2 linked regions of the Caenorhabditis elegans genome follow. The protein of the gene in region 1 purifies or fractionates together with the protein of each later gene. This does not show direct contact. Each region holds a gene or a part of one and is shown on either strand. Other genes may lie near its edges.

Region 1 (4,882 bases):
ATTACCTTGGAAATAGTGACAACATGCAAATGTTCAACACCACTTCGTGCATCAAATGAGTTTTGTTTCGAGAATCCTGGATCAATTACATAGTTGATACCATCAATTGTGACTGAAGTTTCAGCAATGTTAGTTGCTAGGACCACCTGAAATTTAGAGAAATTTGGGAAACTAGAAATGCGTGGAATGTTTTGATTAACTTAAAATTATCTTGAAAATGTTATTTTAAAAATTCACCGAACCAAATTTGGACTTTTTGATATTTTAAAATTCTTTGCTTTTTCTTTGAAATTAAAAAAATAATTTTTTGCAAAAAATTTAGTGGTAAATTCATAGTGATTTTAAGGAAATCCCAAAAAAAAAAATGTAAATTCAATTTATTTTAATTTTCAGATGTTTCAAAAGATTTTTTTTCTGTTAATATTTCTGGATTTTTTCAGAATTTTCTCGAAATTTTTGATATTTTTCTGGAATGCTTACATTTTCTATAAAATTTTATAAAATTATCACAATTTTCAGAAATTTCAAATTTTTCAGTTTAGAAATTTTCAAAGAACAGAGCATTTTTTAAAGTGTTTTTTTTGCAGATACGAGAGGATAGCAATTTCAGATTTTTCAATAAACTTTCCGAAACATTTATTTTTTAAATTGGAAAACTTCAAATTTGTTCAGTTTTGTTAAATCTAAACGTTTGCTAAAAAACTAGTTAGGAATAAAATGAAACAGTTTTTGCCTGAAATTTTGTAGATTTTTCTCGGATTTTTTTTTGGAAAAAATTTGTAAGAAAAATCTACCTTTCTCGCATCTTTCGGCGTTGGCTCGAAAATCTTCGCCTGCAAATCACTGGGCAAATTCGCATAAACCGGCAGCGGAATAAGCTCCTTAATCTTCGATCCCAGTGCTTTCGACCGTTCCATAAGTGCTTCCTGTACAGTTTCGATTTCTTCCTGACCAGTCAGAAATACCAAAATATCGCCGGGAAGTGGCTGGGTCAAGTGAATCTGCATAATTGTGACGATAGCCGCGTCGACGTAGTCCGCTTCGGGAGCCTGTGTATAGTAAATGTCCACCGGGAATCTGCGTCCCGGAATTCGGAAAATCGGAGCGTCGTCGAAGAAACTGGAGAACTTTTCAGCGTCAAGTGTTGCAGAAGAGATGAGAAGCTTCAAATCCTTTCGGAATCTTGCAATATCTTTGACTAAACCGAATAGAATATCCGTGTGTAGAGTACGTTCGTGAGCCTCGTCAATCATCATTACACTGGAAACAGGATTTTTTTTCGTTTTTTTTTGGGTTTATTCGAAGTATTGATTAAAATTTAAGAGCGATCGATTTTTTTCTTAATTAAAAACAAAAATCCTGAATGTTTGGTTTTTTTGCTGTTTTTGTAAATGTTCTAAAAATTACCTATAACTAGCCAAATCGGGTTCGTTGAGAAACTCTCTGAGCAGCATTCCGTCTGTCATGTATTTGAGGACAGTCTTCTCCGATGTGCAATCCTCGAAACGAATACTGTAGCCGACCTGGAAAATGGAAGCGTTTCGAAAGAAAAATCGGAATCTGTTTTCCTCGTTTTTTTACAAGTTTAAAAATTTTTAGAAGCGGCAAAGAATTGCCCAAATTTTTTTAACTTCCAGTTTTTTTTTCTAAATTTTGGAATTTTCCGACTAGAATGAAACTTAGTTTATTTTCGCCAATTTCCAAAAACCACCCAACCTGAGTGCCCAGCTTGCATCCAACTTCATCAGCAACTCTAGCGGCAACCGACATTGCGGCGACACGTCTCGGCTGCGTACATCCGATACGCTTCCCACCTTCACAAAATCCAGCTTCATAAAGATACTGTGGTAGCTGTGTCGTCTTTCCCGATCCGGTTTCTCCCTCGATAATGAGCACTTGATGCTCTTTAACAGCTTCGATGAAAGCATCACGGAATGCGTAGACCGGCAACGACTTTCTCGTTTCTTCAATTGACATTTTCTTTTTCTCGGCTTCTGTCTCTACTACTTCCTCATTGGTTCCAGGCATCTGAAGAGCCTGAATAAAGTCCACTTTCTCATCAAGCAACAGCTCAAACTCTTGCTCCTTCCGCTTCGCATCCTTGGCTCCCAGGTGAAGCATCGAGGCCATCAGCTGCTCCTCTTCCCACTTTGCACCATCACCGCCTGGCCTGAAGTCCTCCTCATCATCCTCCACGTACTGTGAAGGGATCTGTTTCGTTGAGGCGTCCGGCAGATGATATCTCTTCATTTTCATGACGTCACCGGCTTTTCCATGGGCTTTCGTGTATTCGAGAACTTTTTTCCGGTACTCCATATCCGCTTTTTCACGTTTCGTGAGCTTCTCCCTAGCGAATAGAGTTTGATCATCGTGAACTATCGCCTCCAGTTCCTCCAGCTTGTCGACTTTTCGTTTTTTCAGGTACTGCCTTCTGGACTCCTCTCGGAGTTTGTCCATGGAGGAACCCTCTTTGTCCTTGTTATCATCTCGCTTTTTCTCCATAACATTTCGAGTTTTATCCTTTTCTTTTTTGTTAATTCGTGCTGCCAAGGCGTCTCTTTCAGCGATATCTGCGTCCAGCTTTGCCTCCATCGCCTCTATATCGGACTCAGAATCGTCGGATTTTGAAGGTTTCACAGATTTTCCTGGTTTACTAGCTTTAATCGGAGCTTCATCGTCTTCACTACTGCTCTCTTTTCTTTTTCTGACATTTTTGGTTTTTGTGGAGCTCGCCGAATAATCCTCCAACACTCCGACCGCCCGATTCAGACGGTTTAGCTCCTGCTCGGCAAGCTCTGCTGTTGTCGGACCACGTTGTCGCGCTGAAGTTGCCTGCCGGGGCATTCGACTCATCAGCTGATCTGCGAATGACTGGATCGCTGGGGAAATCGGAAAATCTCCGGCGTCACGCAGTTTTTCCACTAAATCCGGCGCGCTTTTCGCCTTTTTTGCTAGTGCGTGCACGTATTGACATATTGATCGATCGCTGATACCCACGATTGAGTGTAGTTGGTCGTTGATGAATTGTTCCACGGACATTATCTGGAAAGTTGGATAATTACAGGAAAATTGAAATTATTAAGTGATGAATAATGATTTTTCAACAAAATTTTAGTTGAAAACCACGAAAAAATTCGAAACTCCTTGAGAAACTCATAAAAATCTATGAAAAACAAAAATAAATAAATAAAAATTATTTTTCGAAAGCGCCGGCAATTGTGTGCAAACACCGTCACGTCGGATTGCAGACCCGAGGAATTTCGGATACACGGGGAGGCAAAGCTAACGTGGCTGAAGAAATTTCTACAGTAGTCCCATTTGGCTGACTGAATATTCAACGCGAATAAGTTTTGTACACTATTGCGTACTCTGCGTACGCGCATTTTATTTGACGACAATTCGTTAATATCAGCTCTGGCTAAAAGCGCTTTTCTCATTATTTAAGCGAATAAAAGTCGAAAAAAAAATGTTTTGTGATACAGAATAGTAATTTAAAAAATAAAAAAGTGCATATTTTATGTTTCTCATTATGTTTCCACTGATTTTCTGAGAAAAACCGAAAATTTCCTCTTTTTTCGATGAATTTTAGCTGAATAGTTTGTTTTTATCTAGTTTTTCTTCCGATTGACTGAATAACACATTTAATAACATCAATATAACGTTTAAAACATTCATTGTCTCGAAAACCAATATAAAACTCGTCAGAGAGGGATACTAAGTAGATATGCTGAACAAGGAAATGAGAGAGAAGAACATTAACCGAATGGGGAGGGGGAATAAAAAATCTGAACAGGAACGGAATATAAAGAACATTATTAGAAAGAACAAGCATGGCTTGATCTTCTTGGCAGTCGTCTCCTTATCCTATCACTTCTTCTCGGCGTCCTTTTGATCATGCTACCGAGCAACGTGGCACGATCGAAGAGTTTCACAACGTTTTGATACTTTCGATCCACGAGTCGGGCTCCCAATTCAGCGAGGGTCCTCTCACGAAGCGTGTCGCATTTCTAGGAAATTTAGAAATTTTTAATTTTTAAAAATTAAAAAATAAGTAACACCTCAAGAATTCCATCGAAGTTTTGCTCCTTTGCAATAAGACGAACTTTTTTTTTACGGAATTGAACAGGTACGGCATGAAAACGGCTTCCTCGTTGAACGATGTTGAAGCTCCTTCACCATTGCACCTGAAAATCAACTTCTAAATTTTCAAATTTAAAGAAAATCCACATACTTATCCTCGGAAACGAATCCAATATTCTGGTTGCTGAGTGGAATTGCTTCAAAGATTTTGATCAGATTTTTTTTTGAAATTTTCGATCACACATCTTGTATCCACCAAATCGCCGAGTGCTTCATGAACTTCAGACTTGTGCTTTCCAACCTCTTCCATGAGCTCCACCTCTTCTGCTTGGAACTTTTGATTGCCTTCGGACCGATCTGACTTGTAGTTTCTTCTCAAATAGTGGCTGATTGAGCAGTTGATCTTGCAGTCCTACTTTCTTTGGCTTCTTCTGCGGCACTTGAGCCCTTAAGAGCACTTATTGCTGCTTAACCTTCCTTATTAATACTTCGAACAGCTTCTTCTTGTTCGCATCTATTTCGAATTTTGTCTTGAAATCTTCCAATGCAGCGACAACGTAATATCTGGAAATTATAAAAACATTAAGAGAAAATATTTTGAAAAAAAAATCGAAAATTGCACTGAATTCCTAGATTTTTCATTAAAATCGAAAAAAAAATTATGAAATACGTGAGATTGAGTTTCAAATGTTACTAATTCAGAATCAGCATATATTTTTCTATATTTGAGTGGGTTTTCAGAAATATTGTACCATAATTTTTGGAAAAATTAAATTTTAATTCGAAATTGCACTGAATTTCT
Region 2 (7,638 bases), 5.2 Mb from region 1:
GTCGATACGTTGGATATGAAGAGTTTTATGAGCGAAATTGGATTTTTTCGAAAAACGGTCTGTAACTTGGCTGAACATAAAAATATCAAAAAAGTCTAACTGATAAAATGTGGAAAAATATTTTTTTTTTACTATCCAACAAAAATTTAATTCTGAAACTCAATGGATGTTGAGTTAAGACTGGTACAACAGAACAGTTCTCAAAAATTTTGGTAGATTTTAGGAAACTATCTTTGAATCAGTGTAACTCAATAAATCCTTGCTACTTTGTAATGAAAATTGATGCAAAGGGAAGAAAAAATATTTCTAATAGTTTTGTTTGTTGAACATTTGTTTTCTAGAACTATAGTTTTCGAGATACGTCAGTTTGAAGATACGCAATTTTGCGAGTTTTAGAAGATATTGCAAATGAATATAACCATTTTTGTACGTCAACATATTGTCTCACTTCTTTCTCTATAATTTTAACGGATTTCTCATGAACAAAAATGAAGTCGAGTAGTCAATGAGATTTCAACTCTTTCCTTTTTCCAATTTCCCCATCTCACTTCCGATCTCTCCGGAAACCTTTTCATCAGACTCTCCTGTCCATTGATAAATGACAAGTTGATTACACTGTTTTATTTATTGTAAATAAATCAACCTGATTGTTTATTTTCTAATGTTGTCCTATTTATTTTTTAAAGTGTCAGCAATCATTTCCTGCAAATAAGAAGACGTCAGTGTGTCTCAGAGAACGTTTTTTTCTGAATTGAATTTCATCTCGTCAGTGAACTACTGACACCTACACAACAAAATGTTGTCACGGTATATGTAGGTGGGCGGCAATTAGCATTTCGACCGGAGGAGAAACGGTTTCAAATATGCGTTTGGATGAAATAAGTGTCTAGGAATTTTTGGATGAATAATTGAGAACTCATATGTGAAAATCGAGGTGAGTTTTTGATGAAGAAGGCAGAGAATATATACAAATTAAAAAAACACACACATTTTCAAAGATGGATTATTTTGGAAATCCCATACTACAGCAGTAAGCCACATTCAGATTGAGATACGAGGCGCGTGTTCGGAGTGATCCTTCCACTGGAAAACGTGAAATTTCTTACAGGACTGATTGTGACGTCATATCCAAAAAGTTAGATTATCATATTTTCCAGAGCTCAAACGAGTCGAATGTGATATTGTGATAGAAAATGATATGCCGTTACTCCCAGTTGCTCAATTTTGGCAACTAATTTCTTTTTGGAATAGATGGAATCTCGGAAATTTCCGTTTTCTCAAAAGTACGTTCAATTTGAAGTGCGCTTAAATTTAATTCTTCACAGTAGAAAAGCTGTATCATACCGTAATTCAGAGGTGGCAGGCAGGTCCTAACTATAAGTTTTCATTTGCCCATCCAGTTTTATAGAGTGATGTTTTGAATAAGTGAGTAGCTCTAGTACGAATTGATAACTTTGAAAGGCATCATCCATAATTTTTGGGCTCCCTCAGCTTAGAATGTTTACCGAATTGTTTTGAACTATTTGGAAAATCTATAAATCTATTTTGCACCATCTGACAGCTTGAAAACTCATAGACCAATACACTGTATATTTTTAGCTCAATTTCCGGTAGTTTCCCCTCCTACACGCACTTTCACTGAAATGGTCATTTATGGTGTTCTTTCCTCCAGAAAACTTGTAATTTATGAGATATTTGAATAACAAAACCGGCGTAACTATGATGTATATCCCAATTCTTTTCCGCTTTTTCTTCATCTTAAAACAAACATTCAAGAGCGAAAAGGTGTTCCTAGAGCTCCGCCCACTTGAAGAACAATTGTCCATTTTCGGACGGAAAAGGGGAGAGAAAAGATGAAAAAAGTGAAAAAGAGAAAGAAGATGTGGGGGAGGAAGTGGGAGGAGCCTAGGAGCTACTATAAAAATCACCGAAAGCGGGGGAATTAGAGACAAAAGAAATTTTGATGAAAATGCAGAACAACTTGGTTCTACTTATCCTCTCGATTCTTTCAATTTTCGAGGTTTCGGCCTATTCAAATGTCGAAAAAGGAGCTGCAGCTAGAGCTAGGTTTGTTTTATTTTTTAAAGGTTCAGTGTATCCAAAATTTTCGAAAAATTAATCCTTATTAGTCTCAAACCTTACGATTTTCGTAGCAAATTTTTTTATTCTCAAAAAATTTGTTTTTGAAAGTCATATGGCTTCCATGGCTTCTAAATATGCCTTTTTTTGCCTACGTGCCTGCCTATGCCTATTTTTTATTTGGCATTAATTATAAAAATTTTTCTGGAGGCACGTATAAAACATTAAACCTCTAGTATCATGGTGGTTCAATTTCAGAGCCAAACTTCTGAGATTAGATATGAGGAATCATTTTTTCTAACGTATACATTGTATACATACTATACATAACAACAAAAAATCAAAAATTTCAAAATCCACAACCTAAATGTCTCACCGTTCCCCTTGTATTCCTTATCATCTTGTCAAGTTCATCTCATTGAACAAGACAACTAGCTACTAGTATCTATGGTTCTCAACGAAACTGAAACCAATTGATAAGAACCGGTTTTCAAAAAAAAAACTCCTTTTGCAGATGTTGGACAAGCGGGAACGGACGGCCAGCTCAATGGTGGCAGGAAGGAGACCAAGTGACACGTGGAAAATACTTTTATGAGTGTAGACGTGGACAGTTGGAGCCACTTGGATGTCTGTCAAGCACAGAGGAAAAGATTCCACTTGGACATACTTTCCAACAAGATAGATATGAGTTCATTTGCCAACTTGGTTAGTTTCGAGCATGGAAATTATACTGATCTGGGCAACTAGGCTTCTGAGAATACTATAAATTTTCAGTTGGAATTAAATTCAACTTTTTATTAGCTAGTTCAAATTCTTAATACCTACTACTCAGAATACCTAGTACTGTTTCCGTAACTTTTGGAGTCTTCGAGTTCACGACAGTGTTAAGAATAACTAACTTTCAAATTGTTAAAATATTTTAAAAGTAGGTATTCTCAAAATCGTGTCCATTCAAAAAAAAAACCATTTCTAATGTCTCTCATTCAACATCTTTTGTCGATTTGATCTTCTTTTTCCCCATATCATTGAGTACCCACATCTGATTTTGTAGAAAACGTATCAAATCTCCTTTTTTACGATTACTCTTTATCAGGAAGCGACGGTTATATCGAATTCGGCTACAGCGCATGTGTCGGCACAGATGGACGTACCTATCAAAAAGGAGAGACTTGGACCGATGCCAAGGTAAGAATGAGAGGAAAGTGAAAGATATTAAAACATGTGAAGAAAGTTGCAACATGTATCACATCCGGTGGGCGGACACACACAGTAGGGGGTTCTGCAATTTTTCTATTAACTTTTTAGTTGCCACTAAAAAAAAACGTTGATCAAAGTTTCAACGAAAGCTATAACATAGTTTTTGAACTGACCCAATTTTACTTTCGAAACTTCACTAATTTGATTCCAAACGAAAACTTTTTGACCTACAAATTCAAAAAGTGGAAGGCATAGTTTGACAATGCCGAGAAAAATCGCTGAAAATGTGGCACAATAATTAGAGATGAACTTTGAAAGTGTGATTTATTAAATTTAAATTGAGAGCGTGTTCGATGCAAGACTCATGCTTTCGTGCTCACAAAATTAAAATATTGTTAATCTACTTAGGAAGCACAAACCAATAGTTTCCAATAAAAACAAGTAGGCTTAAGGTAGGCACACAAACAGGTACTCTGATCGCCGATGTGCTTGCCCACAGTGATACCTAAAGTAAGTATAAGCTTGTTTTCTAGAGATCCCACATCCCATAGGTGCTATAGGCATAGGACAGATAACCGGCCTGATAATGTTTCTGATCCTTTGATCATTAAATGAAAAGAAGACATAATCGAATTGGTTTAGAAACCGAAAATTGTGTAGAGAAATTTTGAAATTTTGGTAGCTAATTTTCAATTTAATTTTAAACAGTTTGAGCAAGATCTAGTAAATTGATATTTAATAAAATAGAACAGACCCATTTGTCTTCAATCATAGTAGTATTCCAAGTTCAACTTTGACCACAACCCCCTCTACCCCATTCAACCACAAAAATACCTCTTCCAGAACACTTACTACTACCGTTGCCGTGACGATGGTCGTGTTGTCAAAACGACAATTGAAGGATGCATTGCCCATGATAAGCAACGACGTGTCCCACTTGGTCAGACAGACGATTTCAACGGATACACGTGAGTTCGCTGCCCCTAAATTTCGCTCAATGGCTTATCTCCGCTTATCCGTTGTTTTTACCGACATGGCGCCGCCAAGAAAAGTGTAAATGATAGGGTGACATATGATTTGAAGGCCACCCGAAATTTGAACACACGGGAGACAATATGAAGTGACACCGGTCAGACGGTTTAGCAGAAAAACGAAAAGGCAAAGAGTGGTGAAAGACTAAAGAATGAGTTTAAATAGATAGTGATAGAGATTGACTGATAGGGTTTTGAAAGATTGAAAGTGATAGATTGGATCTAAGGATCAAAATTGAACTGAAACCCAGATTACCTAATTGAATTTAAACTAATAGGAAAACTAGGGGACATTAAAACTGATGTGACAGCATTGTCAATTCAAGAATTTCCAACACTAGGTGAATCTGGCAGGTAGGCAAGAGTTACACGTGCCTGCCTTCGTTTCTGACGAATGCTTATTTCCTATTTGAGCGTAAAGTTAAGGAATTGACGGTTTCACACTATTTAAAACACTGAAGCTTGAAATCTAATCTTTGAATGCAAGAGATTGGCGGTTTCGCAGTAGGTACGAGGTAGGCGTAGGTTTTTCTGAAATAAGACATGTGGACTAGTGCTATCGAACGTATCATAATCTAAATTACAGTACTCTCGGGTACATTTTCGGTGATGAAAGATCAAAAATGATAATTCAAATCCTGTTTTTATGTCCTTTCAATGTTTTCATAGCACTTGGAAATTAATTGATATCCTGCAACCTTCAAATCCACCGTAATCCTATTTTCTCCCAAGTTGTATTTTAACAACTTTTTTAGTTTTTTTTTTCATTGATAAGGGCGACGGATATGGCGAGATTATGTGATAAAGTGACAAAAAAAACGGGTCACTACGAAAATGCACTCTTTTATATCTTATCGGTTGGTGTCTACGAGATACTTGAACTTTTGCGGTAGCAACTTTTTTTTTTAAGTTGAGACTTTGAATTCTGAAGAGTATGGAAAAAATATTTTCAGTTATAAATGCCAACAAAAAACTACTGGAGTCGTTCAAATGTGCAGTGTTGGATGTATTCATGAGGGAACTCGATACACTGTTGGACAACAATACAGAGTGAGTTTTACCAATGAGTTTGGGTGGACAAGCCTTCATGACTCGCCTACCACCTATTTATATTTTTTCATAGGCCGGCGTAGGTCTTCTGAAATGTAGGTAGATATTTTTGTGCCTACTGGGATCGGGATCTACCAAGCCCAATGCATCTGTCAAAATAATTATTTCCTAGTAATTTGAAACGAAAAAAAACGAAGGCGCCGAAACTTCTAGAACTTTTCTCTTTTTTTTGAATTTCATTTCATCCATTATCAATCATTTCTCCCGGAAGTCTTCCAAACCCAATTTGAACCTTCTAAACATGTTCAAATCAACATTAAATCAACTTGTCCAAGGGCGTGCCCCTGCAAAATCCTGCGATTTTTGAACATCAAACTTTTCACGAAAAAAAAGTTCTGAAGATGAAAATGATAACAACAAATCCTAATAGGAAGTACATACCTTAAAAATAAGTTTTGAAAAAAAACAGAAAAAAAACAGATTGATGAAATAGATAACATCATCTTCTTATTAACTTGTATATTCTCGTTTTCAGGACGGAGACTACCTCTTCTATTGCAAGTTGCAAGGTGGAAAGTGTACGAAGCAGTGCATCGGATGTGTTGCTGGTGGACAAGACTTGTATGATGGACAACGGTACAAAAGAGATGGAACCACTTATCAGTGCGAGGTATGTTTCCGGTCAATGACTGTACCAGTGGGGACAGGAATCAGTTATTGGATGCTTTTTTTCTGGACAATAGGTTTAGACTGTTAGGGTACAAAACACATACAACAGTGAACGTTCAATGTGAAAAAGAGAAAGAGGAGAACGAGGTAATTGGGAAACATGCAAAAGAAGGTGATGAGAATGAGAAAAAATAGAACGGGAGATCAATGGAACAGTTCTGAAATTGAAGTTTTCAAATATGAAAATGATACATTAAGGAACTAAGAATTAGGTGTCCCGAAATGAATCCAGACGTTAGGAAAATCTCTACTTTGGCAGCTCATATCTCGGTTAATTTCAAATATTTCAAAAAAGTAAATAACATCAAAACTGTAGAAAAAGGACTAATCTGCATATTGTCAGTTGACAATTTTTGATAAATTTGGTAATTTACCAAAACTGTGACTGAAAATTTTGAAAAATCTGAAATGTTTTGTCATTTTGAACTATAATAAGTTTATTTAAACTAAATCCCTACTGACTCTTGGAAATTAAATATAATATGTACATCCAAATATTCAACTTATAATTTCCAGATCCGTCCAGGAAAACGAAGCCACCGTGCCGTCGGATGCTCGATTGTTGAAAATGGTCGTGACATTAACAAGGTGATCGGATGTAGATGGTATGAGCAGAACCCAGACTGGAAGATCGAGAAGACCTGCGAAACTGACGGAGATAACAAGACAAAGGTCACCACAGTTGGATGCATCTATAAATACAAGGGATTCGATCGAATTTTCCTTGAGCCAGGAAAGTACACAATTTGGAATCTTCCAAAACAAAAGGATTCATCAGTTGGACTTGCTTGCCGAAAGACTGCTGACGGTGCCGAGTTGGTGATCTTCGATGTGGCACAGTTGGAAAGGAATACGTCTGGACTTAAGTACGATTTGCCACGTGGCAAATAATCACGTTGTTTTGACTAGGTGACCACAGCGAGCTTTCTCTTGTTATTGTACCCCCGAGAATACGTGTAATTTTGTTGAAATGTCGTGAGAAATAACCTAATAATTGTGCTTCTTCTATTTCTTTTCTGAAGTTTGATAATAAATAAAGAATAACTATATTCATAAAGGAATGCAAATTTTATATAAAGAAAAGAGGATCATAAAATTTCCACTGGAATACGAGAAAACACCGATGAAAACGTGAACACGGTGAAGTTTCAGTGCCGAAAATAGAATAAGTTAACAAAAAATAATATAACAATCGTAATATGGAAGAAAAAACAAAAAAGAACACGAAATTAGATTGGTGTGACTTTGGTTGGATCGATTTCATCCAGGAAAAGCGTCTCAAAAACAGTGTCAGCAAAATCTGGATAATACTGGCATGCTCGAGTGGTGTCCGGCATGAAATTAATCTCGAGGAGAGTGGATTTGATGACGTCATTGTCTCCGTGTTGAAGCATAATATCAACACCGTACATTGCACGGGATTGGACATTTGGAGCAACTCCTCGTGGAGCTTCTTCTCTGAAAATGCAAACATTAAGATATTTCTAAACAAAACGAAACTTACTTTGCAGCTGCTTCGATTGCCTTGCGAATGGTTAAATTGATATCTTTC

The links.
Region 2: the proteins of mog-4 (region 1) and F42A8.1 fractionate together in Caenorhabditis elegans (co-fractionation; one large-scale study listed by BioGRID). This does not show direct contact.

The regions. Positions count from the first base shown.
Region 1 is NC_003280.10:14,558,558-14,563,439, forward strand, and holds the start of mog-4 (putative pre-mRNA-splicing factor ATP-dependent RNA helicase mog-4), read right to left. Parts: upstream 3,043-4,882; 5' UTR 3,040-3,042; coding exon 1,717-3,039; intron 1,524-1,716; coding exon 1,408-1,523; intron 1,261-1,407; coding exon 795-1,260; intron 599-794; exon of another isoform or gene 429-598; intron 147-428; coding exon 6-146; intron 1-5. UniProt on the Caenorhabditis elegans protein: ATP-binding RNA helicase involved in pre-mRNA splicing. Operates during embryogenesis.
Region 2 is NC_003280.10:9,340,897-9,348,534, reverse strand, and holds F42A8.1 (uncharacterized protein), read left to right. Parts: upstream 1-1,944; 5' UTR 1,945-1,969; coding exon 1,970-2,067; intron 2,068-2,593; coding exon 2,594-2,784; intron 2,785-3,172; coding exon 3,173-3,264; intron 3,265-4,119; coding exon 4,120-4,244; intron 4,245-5,260; coding exon 5,261-5,357; intron 5,358-5,892; coding exon 5,893-6,027; intron 6,028-6,602; coding exon 6,603-6,977; 3' UTR 6,978-7,138; downstream 7,139-7,638. Other genes in the region: ttll-12 (Tubulin--tyrosine ligase-like protein 12), read right to left, coding at 7,316-7,544, 7,591-7,638.